Linked DNA regions of Oryza sativa Japonica Group. Each later gene encodes a partner of the first gene's protein in a complex. Links are inferred from orthologs where the notes say so. Each region holds a gene or a part of one and is shown on either strand. Other genes may lie near its edges.

Region 1 (5,347 bases):
AATCAACAATGACTTGTCAGCTCTTTGTGTGTGATATTCATGCATGATGGTCAGATTCTTTTATGCATTGATTAACCTTATCTTCCTGTCTAATGATTATGATACACACCATTACAAAATTGTGTAGACCTGCATAAGGACTCAAAGGATGAAAGCAAGGTGTCAATGAACAAAATAGAGACCCACAAGAATGAAACTCATGGTACAAGCGATGATATAAATGAGAATACACCAGTTGAGAGAGTTAAAGGTCCAAATGTGTTTGAGCGTGCCAAGGAAGAGATTGAAGCTATTGTTGAAGCCTTCCACCCAAAGAAGGGATCTGACAAGTGAAGATTGAGATGTTCTGTTGCCTCTGTCTGCACTTGATGTGAAAACATTGACATGAGTTATTAATAGATCCATGGATGAGTTGTGAGATATCCATCGGCTGGTCTTATTATTGCCAAACTATGGAGTTGTAACTGTTGAATGGTTCATTGTACCACTGATATATATATGAGCAGAGTGTGTATCATGTGTGACATGAAAGTATTACTGTTCTTCAGTGTTTGATTTTAGTGTATGTTGAACTTAGTCCTTTGCATGATATGGTATTTTACTTGCTACCATACATGCAAAAATCTTTTGAGGTGCATAAATAAAGAGAGAGTCAATTGCTGTACAATTTTATAACCTTATGCTAAGCCTGTGGTTTGGGTTCAACATGCTTCACAAAATAACAGCATTTCCTTAGTGAAACAAGACAGAAACGCGAGATATGAACGATATGATACCTCAAACCCCATGTTCTTTGAAAAATAAAATTTTGAGTTAAATGTTGGTGTTGCTACACCTAGTAGTATAGAGTCTTGAAAAAAATTCCTCTCTTTTGATTTGTGTGGTTTCAAACGCTTCATCTAATTGATCATTCCTGTTATTTTCCTATCCATAAGATTTGAGGGAACTATTTCGAAGGATCCTTTCTCAAGACTCTAAACGGTGTGATTTTCTTAAAACTTTTTGTATAAATTTCTTAGAATACTGTTCTAATATTTTTTTTTAACTTTATACTCCATCCGTATTTTAATGTATGACGCCGTTGAATTTTTGACAAACGTTTGACCTATCGTCTTATTCAAAAAATTTATGTAATTATCATTTATTTTATTGTGACTTGATTTATCATCAAATGTTCTTTAAGCATGATATAAGTATTTTTATATTCGTATAAAAAATTTGAATAAGATGAATGGTCAAACGTTGGTTAAAAAGTCAACGGCGTCATACATTAAAATACGGAGGGAGTAACATTTATTTAATTTGTTTGTTCCCTCGAATAATTATCGCAACATTACGCGAAGCAACAACTCAAATAGATATTTCATATTATTTTATCAATGAATAAGATCTCGTCGTTGGCTTCTCATCACAAAAAAAATAAATATAAATTTATTAGAATATTGTTTTAACCTATTTTTTAAAACTTTATAACAGTTATTTTATTTGTCTGTACCCTCAAATAATTATTACAATACTGTACAAAAACAAATCAAATAGGGATTTCATATTATATTTTTTAATAATGAATAGATCTGGCCGTTGGTTTCTGATCTAAAGGCCCAGCCCAACCAGCCGCTGTCTCTTCCCCCCACTCCTCGACTCGCTCTCGCTTCCGAAGCAGCGGCGGCGGCGGCGGCGAGGCGAGATGGCGGCGGCGGCGTTGGCGGGGATGGACGCGCGGGGGTGGGACGAGGCGGCGTACAGGCGGGGCATCCTGCGGGAGCGGGACCTCTCCTGCCGCACCCTCTTCCGCGCCGTCTTCTTCGACCACCACGACGACGACCCCGACGTCCTCCTCGCCGCCGCCTCCAGCGACGGCTCCCTCGCCTCCTTCTCCCTCTCCTCCTGCATCTCCTCCTCCTCCTCCCATCCCACCCCACAGGTTCGTTCGTTCCCCACACCCGCTCCATGTGCCGCGTCCTCGTGCGCAGCTAAGGTGTTCGATCTTTTGTTTTGATTTGATTGGATTCAGACCCACCCGGATGCCGCGGTCTCTCTGGTTGATCCCGTCTGCATCGTCCAAGCGCACAGTGGCCCGGCCTACGACGTCAGGTTCTACCCGGATTCGCAGCAGCCGCTGCTCTTCAGGTGAATTGCTGTGCTGCTGCTCGTCTTCTCGGTGGCCGTTTTTGTTCAGGTGACATGGCATGACATTTGGCGACGTGATCCGTTGGTTGTGGCAGCGGCGGGGATGACGGGCGCCTTCGGGGATGGAGATGGCACGAGATGCAGAGCTGCCTTGTGCCGCTATCTCTGCAAGGTGCTGCAAAAGAACCCTCACTTCTTACTAGGATTGACTTGGTTAATTAGTTTGGTGTGTGCTTTACCTAGAAGTTCTACCTGTACTTGCTTGCGCACACCCCACAAAGAAAAGGCTAAATTTTTAACAAAGATGTAAAACATTTTGCAAGTCCCATTTCCTTTTCTAGTGCTCTAGTGCATGTTTTTTTTGTGGGGCTAATGCATGTTGTTTAATAGGTTACTTTGTCATTGCTTTTCTTTCCAGGGGATCATTTGGAGCCAGTACTTGATTTGGTGAACCCTCAGCATGAGTAAGTATTCTGTGAAAAAGGACATACATCTGATAATCATTTGACATATCGTTTATTCTAGAGAAATATGCACTTGCACTCTCATCCTCCATCTTTTCAGAGCTTTTGTTTTCGATTTTGTAGGGGTCCTTGGGGTGCTCGCTCTCCAATACCTGAAAACAACGCCATTGCGATTAACAAACAGGTCAACACCAGAAAGTCTGCATTTTCACTTCATCCAAAGAAGCAAAATAATCTCTTGTGTGCATTTTTGTTCATCGTGTATATTATATAGAAATGATGCATATTGTTACTTGCTTAAAAAAAGATATCTTATTCAGTTATTCTTTCTCATCATTCTTCTTCGCAACAGGAAGGATCTGTTTATGCAGCGGCCGGGGATGCATGTGCTTATTGCTGGGATGTGGTATGTATTTTCTTGAGGTAAATGCAATATATAGAAGTCCTGAGCTACATGGAAGGAACTACAGATTTCTTATGATTCATGTGGCACAGGCTTCCATAATTTTCTATTTTCTGTGTGCCTGCTTGAGAAAATATCTGATAGTAGGTTTTACAATGTCTTGTTCTTTCAGGAGAGTGGTAAATGTAAAATGACCTTCAAGGGACATACTGACTATTTGCACAGCATTGCAGTCCGCGAAGCGAACCGCCAGGTTGGTTTGTTATTATTGTACTGATGTAGTCCAATACCATTTTCCCATAGATGTCTTGCCTTCATTTTGTAGTAACTTTTAGTTAATAGAGCCTTTCCTTTTTCAGGTAGTTACAGGATCAGAGGATGGCACAGCCCGTATCTGGGGTGAGCAGTGCTTTTGATAGGATAATTTTGTCTTGTACTTGAAGTGTGCCTTCTCATGTTCATCCTGTTCTAACTGGTCATTTTGTATATCTGCTCGTTGATTCAAGCAAAGAAAAAGCACCAACTAGCTATTTGTCTTTTTGTACTCTTTAATTCACATCTGGTGATCTGGTCACAGGTCACATCATATTCACAAAATTTATCCTCTCTCTTATGAGTTTACCTTCAGACAGGTTTAGAAAGATTTGGCACTACATGGAAATCCATAAAAAGGCATTCTCTTATTTCTGCTCTTTGTGCACTGCAGATTGCAGAAGTGGAAAGTGCACTCAGGTTATACGTCCGGTGAAAAACAAGATTTTTGAGGGGTCATGGGTCAGTTGTGTTGCCATTGATGCAAGTGAAAGCTGGCTGGTAGGATGCACTTCAAGCTGATATAACAATGTGTTATGCATCATGTATTTTACAGTTATTATTATCTTGGTCCTATTTTTCCCAGGCTTGTGGTACTTCTAGTGGTATATCAGTTTGGAGCCTTCTTTCAAATGAGTGCATCTTTAATGTGGATTGCCATGCTCCTGTTCAAGATTTGCTGTTTGACAGAAACCAAGTAAGTCTATCTATTCGTCATGTTCAAGCTAGAGTTTAGCAAACCAGTAAAATTGCCCATGGTTAGAAATGGCTCATCTTGTATTTCAAAGATGGGCTGGCAAAAAATTTAGGACGGATCATTCCATTCTTTAGTCTTTGTGAGTTTAACAAATGCTATACCTGTAGTAAATTAGTGTTCCCCTAGTCAATTATTTCCATTAACAAGTCATATGATAGTTCCACAAGTGCATGATTTATCTATTTAACCAATGCCCTTTCTAAATTTTTTTATGCATAATTGTTTGCCAAATGAAAGTTTGCATAATTGTGTGGATATGAAATTATTATCAGATAATCTCTCAGATATGCACAGAAAATGCAATAAATTATTTCCTGATGATTTATGACATGGTTGCCAAAATTTGAAGCTTTGTGATGTTATTGTTGGAGAGAAACAGAATAAAATCAAAAGCTTTTGCTTCCAAACAAATATAAGAGTGACTCTTCAGCCAACTAGTTATTATTCCTGCAAGGAAAGCTTTTTATTATTGTCTGCTCACATCTATTAGAGATTTACCAAAGCAATGTTGAGTCTGGCGATAGACAATAGAGCAGCACGAAGGATGCATTGTTTCCCAACTCTTGTGGTTTAGGAATTATCAACTGTTTGTTTTCTTATACTCCATTTTCACCATTCAGATCTTAGCAGTCGGTGCTGAACCTCTGCTCTCTCGTTTCTCTATCAATGGGACTCTTCTTTCACAAATCAAGTGTGCTCCTCACTCAGCATTTTCTGTCTCCATACATTCTTCAGGGGTATGTCTGTCTGTCTCTTGATTCTCATTTTGAAATGACTTGGGTATCTGTTTCACCCTACTTCTGGAGTCTGGCCGATTTGTCCTGAGTTTACTACCTTTGTTGTGCAGATGGCAGCTGTTGCTGGATATGGAGGCCTTGTGGATGTAATATCACAATTTGGGAGTCATTTGTGCACTTTTGGCTGCCGGAGCCTGGATAAGTAAGATCTATTGGAACAATTAGCTAAGCACTCTTAATAGTGTAAAGAACTGGAAAAACACTGCCAAGATCTAATTAAGTACTACTACTAGTAATCATACACTTGGGAGCTGTTCAGCTGTAACACTAGTTCATCTCTGTGCTAACTTATGTAATTCACAGTTGTGCCGTTGCTGCTCCGATAGAGATGACTCTAGATCCCTTAAGTTTATTGCTGTTACAATTTCCCTAATGAATTCCCTTGTACGGATTACCTGCTGGTTGCTGCAACACTGCTCTCTTTGCTGACTTTCTCCCTCCATCCCATAAAATACAAACTCAGGATAGGATTTTAAGATGAGAT
Region 2 (5,659 bases), about 4.7 Mb from region 1:
CCTATGCTTTATATTACCTTGAAATAAAAAAAATCGTTAACTACATAAAACAACTAGCATCAGTATAAGGCATTAAGAGAATTAGAGTTCAAAGCGAAGTCAAACAGCATATAGAGAACCTAATGATTATAGCATAAAGTTCAAAAGATAATGTAGTTACAATGAAATGTCATTGGCTGAGATGTGAGTTGATGTTGAACAAATGAGCGAAGACAGAAAAAATCATCACCTATCAAGGGGATCCATTCCAATGCAATAACAACCCGCTGTATGAGCATTCAATTTGCCAACCACATGAAGGGTGTCATCAAGGGAAGGATCACCAAATACCTCAACATTTCCTACATAAACAGCAAACAATGTAATTACACTGATACCAACTGGTGTGATATTGAAACTTAAAACAACATATGGGTTTTGTATCTTACCAAGTCCAGTAGTGATGAAGAATAAATCTCCAGTTTTGTTCCATGCAATCTCATTTATCTGAGGAACAACAAATCAATAATTTACTTCAGAAAAGTTAACTGATCTGAGGAGCTATATGATTCATTTTTATCAGTAGCAGGTGTACGGGCATTTAGCTAGTTGAAATAGAAAATTTACAAAACTGCAACATAAGTAATGCAGCAAATGAAATTAAAGTACATCGAATAGTTAGGTAATTCACACTCAGTAGTCAGTACTAATTCAAATACCAGCAGGCAATTTTCCTGTTCCAGACAAAGATGCACATGCTGCCGACTTATGCCCACTCTACTTTTTCTCAAAAGGTATATGACTATATGTGCATGTTCATTCAGAGCAGCGAAAGATTCCAAAAGGAAGAAGAAAATTGCTAGAAGAATGTTTCAACAATTCAAACCTTCAAGTGGAAAGTACCTCATAATTAAACTTAAATTTGTGAAGGGCTTTTAGCTTCCGAACATCCACTATTGTCAACTCATCCTCCTGCAAATCATAGTGACAGCTGTTACTACACTTGTACAATTTTATAAAACTAGAACTCACAAAGTAAACACATTGGTGTACGCGGGACCTTGCGAACTAACTTGTAAACTTTATAAAAATAGGTTTACTACAATTATTATAAAATTTACACACCACTCCCCAGTCCCCATGCTCAATAACACTTTACTAACTTTGCATAGCAAAAAAAGTAAATAATTCCATCTAATTTAGGATCAATATGTATATATTCAAGTGTGTCCATACTGAGCTATGTTGTATTGATACTTATACAGAGAGCATGTCAAACACAAGAATGAACATTGCAATTTAGATGCTAATTTGCCAAATAACTCATCACTCAATCTAATATAAATCAGATTATAGTTACACATTTCTCTTTGGAAAGAATTTTATAAATTCCTTTCAAAATATTGTAACCCTCTTCTGGCATGATATATGCAAATCAAAACCAGTTCCTTAGTCATAAATGACTACCGTTCTTGAAGTTAACAGGGATAACAGCCTAGGCAATACATACCTTGTTTCCAACAGCTATTTGAGTACCACCATGTTTATAAGTGATATTGATGTTTTCTCCACTAAGTTCGACGACTTGACATTTTCCACCTGGAAAAGAACACGTCAAACAGTTTGAGAAATAGCGGGTCAAATAAATAATATAATTTTAAAAGGCAAACTGCAGGCCCAAATCTTGTAGAGTTATAAATAGAGAATCAAAAGTATGATGTACAATCCTATGAAAAAAATCGAAGTACAACTAAAAAAATTCTGAAACTAACTTTCAGGTAGAGTCACTACACAAAAGAATAAGACATCTTGTCTGGTAACAACAAGTTCATTGTAAATGGAACATAGGGATTGAACAAAGTGACAAAAAGGGATTCATCAATTTCAGAGAGAAGCTGAGAATGCTGAACACAACTGTGGATATCTTAGTTCTTTAACCTTCAAAGATGAAGGGAACCACTTACTCCGTGCATCCCAGAGGCGAATTGACTTGTCAGCAGCTGCTGTAGCAACTGTATCAGGATGCTTCGGATCCCAGCAGAGCTGATCTACACAATCTGTGTGGCCTTTCAATTCAATGTCTTTAACCTTGGACTGTGCAATATAAAAACCCTAATCAGCACAGTACTGACTTGGTACTTCCAGGGAAATAGAAACCATCTGGGGTTTTTTCCCCTCCTACGTTCCAACCAAAAATGTCTTAGTGTTCTCAAAACAATATAATTTAGCTTAGAATTTATTTTCCTCAAAACCGCAGGAGGGCTGCGCTTCCTTTCATTAAGAAGAAGAAATAAGTACAACTGAGGGATCCAAAAGAACCCCTAGCTAAGAAATCATTCACAATTTCACATTAAATAGCTCAAACATATGTCTCAGAGACACAGGCTATGGTATGCTTAAGTGTGATTACTGTCTGAGTTTCTATAATTTTAAATTATACAGCGGGAGATATTTCCAATTAATCATCATGCTTATCTTTCAAATTTATAGAAATGTTCATAAAAAAAGGGTGACAGTTATTCATAGTGAATGACAATAAATGCGTTTATCTAATAATTCCATAATAACAATGAAGGTTATTTTGTTTGCAATCAGGAAAGGAGAGAATGTTTACATGGCCATGGGGATCGATACTCCATACACGTGCAGTATGATCAATAGAGCCTGAAGCAAGCTTCATGCCTAGGCAGTTCCATGCTACAGAGTGCACCTAACAGTAAAACAAAAGATCAGAATTATACAAAATTTAAGGCTGATTATGTATGTAAGATAGATAAAAAAGAAGGCAAAAAGCGACAGAACCAGTTAAATGCTGCACCTCCATGTGTGGAAGGATTATTTAGAAAAACAAGAAACAGAATTCAAGAAAGAAACAGAGAAATATCGTTGTACTATGATTCTTTCTGCAAGTAAGATTTTTTTTTCCCTTTGAATTCTTCCCCTCAGAGGAGTAGCAACTTTACAAAGTCAGACAAGAAGTCCCTTTTCGTGAAACCAAATTCCTTCAAAAATTAGGAGTAATTATGACCAGGAATCATATTTGACAATGCGCTCATTCACCAGCTCCCAGAAGGAAAGCAACCAACCAAAGCTTCATTCAATCTCAACATGGCTTAGCCCTAGAGCAAAAGAATCAGCATATATACGGCATGAACGCGAGGAATCAATCACTATATCCTGCTCTAGAATTAGAAACAAAACCGTACGTGTGAACCAAAGATGGATGCATTTTCGTCCTAATTTTTGCTTGTAACATCCGGATTTTAGGGCTTCCCCCTCGCAGGACTTTTGAGGGTTTAGGACCTCATGAGAAAAAAACTTATCCCCGCGTAGGATTGGTGAGGGGGGAATCGAAAAGGTTACCTTCTTCTTGTGGCCGAAATACTCCCTCGACACCAGGTTCTTCAGGTTCATCCCCGGCGTCGAGCTTCCGCCACCGCCGCCCCGCCGTCTGTCGTCTTCTTTCCCCTCCATTGTCCCCGCGGACTGGGGCACGGGTCTGGTTTTGCTATTCCCCACTCACCGCGTCACGAGGCGCAAGGCGGCGGCGGCGGTGGCGGTGGCGGCGGCGGCGGGCGCGAGACGGAGGAGGGAGAGCCGGGGACGGCGTCGGCGGGGAAGAGGAGAGGGTTTTCGCAGAAACGTCCTTCTACTTTTTTGTTTATTCATGCCACAAGTTCATGCGTTATCCTTACCATGGAGCCATGGACACATCCTTTGGTTTTTGTTTAATTGAATCCATGCCATTGTAAATATACCGATAAATGTTATTACAATTCGTCTTTTTTAATTGTGACATTGAAATTTTATAAAATTAGAACCATGCCACTATAGTAATATTTTCCATCCATCTTCGTCTTCTTAGATTCATCTTTCCCCTCTTTTTTTTTCTCATCTCTCTCCACCACCTCTTTGGAGGGGACAGCCGCTGCGGCTGTTGGCAACTTTTTGTGACAAGTCGACAATTACGATCGCAGCACCTAAACGCCTTGCGGTGATATGGAGTCGCCAACCACCTCGATCTAGCCAAACGGCCAAATCAAGATGGGTTTTGTAGAAAAACAGCTAAACCGGCTAGCGGAGCCGATTTAGAGATCAAAAATCAGCCTCTAAGCCGATTTAGATCGATATGAGGATAACTAACCTGTCTCATAGGCAATACGGAAGGTTTTCAGGACAAATCTACAAAGAGGTGTCGCACTCTCGCAGCGGCGGCGGACGGTTTACGGCGCAAACCGACAAAGATGGATTAAAACTAGGGTAAAATAGAAAACATGGTAAAAGAACGATTCAAGTAAATTGTATTCGGGGGTTTTACAATGAACCGGCCTTGTCCCTTAAATAGGGGTTGGTCTTACCCTCTACAGGCCCTTCTCCATATCCAACTCGGGATAGAAACCAAAGGAAACACGAAACCTACCTTCCCAGGCAAGGAAACCCGAGACCCGACGAAAACAAACTCGGACTCGGACCCTGACGGTTTGACCGCCCACATACCTGCGGTCAGACCGGCCCTACTAGACGGTCAGACCGCCCACACACCTGTGGTCTAACCGGCCCTGTGAAGGAAACCCGTCACTTTCCAAACTTTGGCAATTTTCCTCTATTTCGTCCATAGGTGCCAAATTTGGGTGTAAACACATGCCCCCCTGCCTTTTTTGTAAACATACGTGAACCTAAAAGCATAGAACATGTTATGTCAGGGTGATAATCCAATTACCGCCCATAGGACTTCCTAAGCATCTTGCCAAATGCTCGGGAAATATTTCTTCAAGTATTTCCCATTAATTGCTCTCTGAAAACACCGTCTTGAAGTGTCTTCATCTCCTTCAAAGTCTTTAAACGCTTGTCGATGACGTCTTTAAAATTGTTTCCCATCAAGGTCTTGTAATCTTCAACCGACAAGTCGTCTTGCTTGAAATACCGAAGAGAGCCAAGATTTACCCCAACTGGCAAAACGACAATTTCAACAATGTTTTATTACTCAACTCGGCTTATCCATTAGCCTGAGCGTAGTAAAGAGAAGAACTCATCAACTTAATAGCATAAGATTCGGCAAAACTTCTCACTCCGTACAAGTAATATTCTCGAGCGGCACGGCTTCGGCCCACTTAGTGAAGTAATCCATTGCAACTAGCACGAACCAACGCCCTTTTGATGACGAAGGATAAATTTGACCAATGAAATCCAAAGCTCAACCTCAGAACGGCCATACTTTAATGATAGGATTCAACACAGCGGTAGGCGCTAATTGAACATTGCCGATCCGTTAACAAGCTTCACTCCCTCTATAACATTTGAAACAATCATCAATTATTTTCGGCCAATGAAACCACACTCTCCTAAGCAACCAATTTATCTTACGGGCCGATTGATGAATTTCACAAATCCCTTCATGTACTACTCTCCTAGCAACTTTAAACTGATCATTATCTAAGTAATACTCCATCTATTTTTCGGCGATATAATATTTGAGCGCTTGCCGCCGAATCTTCTGATCAACCTTAAGTGTAGGATCTTCAAATATCTAATCGAAGGAATTCTCCAAGCTATTTCTAACTCATGGGCACAAATGTCCGAATTCACAATTAATTCGGCCTTTTAATCAATTGTAACGTGCCCCCCAGCTCTCGGCCCGCTATCGGTCAGACCGGCCACGCAATGCCGGTCAGACCACCCT

Evidence for each region.
Region 2: THO complex subunit 6 (region 1) and THO complex subunit 3 share a complex: the UniProt entries of both Arabidopsis thaliana proteins name them as parts of the THO complex. The link is inferred for Oryza sativa Japonica Group from reciprocal best matches to the Arabidopsis thaliana genes DWA1 and TEX1.

Annotation. Positions count from the first base shown.
Region 1 is NC_089043.1:16,265,712-16,271,058, reverse strand, and holds THO complex subunit 6, read left to right. Parts: upstream 1-1,632; 5' UTR 1,633-1,687; coding exon 1,688-1,924; intron 1,925-2,014; coding exon 2,015-2,130; intron 2,131-2,225; coding exon 2,226-2,302; intron 2,303-2,548; coding exon 2,549-2,594; intron 2,595-2,717; coding exon 2,718-2,778; intron 2,779-2,946; coding exon 2,947-3,000; intron 3,001-3,169; coding exon 3,170-3,254; intron 3,255-3,356; coding exon of another isoform or gene 3,357-3,360; coding exon 3,361-3,396; intron 3,397-3,703; coding exon 3,704-3,810; intron 3,811-3,895; coding exon 3,896-4,006; intron 4,007-4,686; coding exon 4,687-4,803; intron 4,804-4,913; coding exon 4,914-5,009; 3' UTR 5,010-5,257; downstream 5,258-5,347. Other genes in the region: uncharacterized protein, read left to right, coding at 128-333. UniProt on the Arabidopsis thaliana protein: Acts as a component of the THO subcomplex of the TREX complex which is thought to couple mRNA transcription, processing and nuclear export.
Region 2 is NC_089043.1:11,600,385-11,606,043, reverse strand, and holds the start of THO complex subunit 3, read right to left. Parts: upstream 3,631-5,659; 5' UTR 3,454-3,630; coding exon 3,343-3,453; intron 2,690-3,342; coding exon 2,594-2,689; intron 2,074-2,593; coding exon 1,944-2,073; intron 1,579-1,943; coding exon 1,490-1,578; intron 952-1,489; coding exon 883-951; intron 487-882; coding exon 429-486; intron 342-428; coding exon 230-341; intron 1-229. UniProt on the Arabidopsis thaliana protein: Acts as a component of the THO subcomplex of the TREX complex which is thought to couple mRNA transcription, processing and nuclear export. Contributes to the integrity of the endogenous trans-acting small interfering RNA (ta-siRNA) pathway.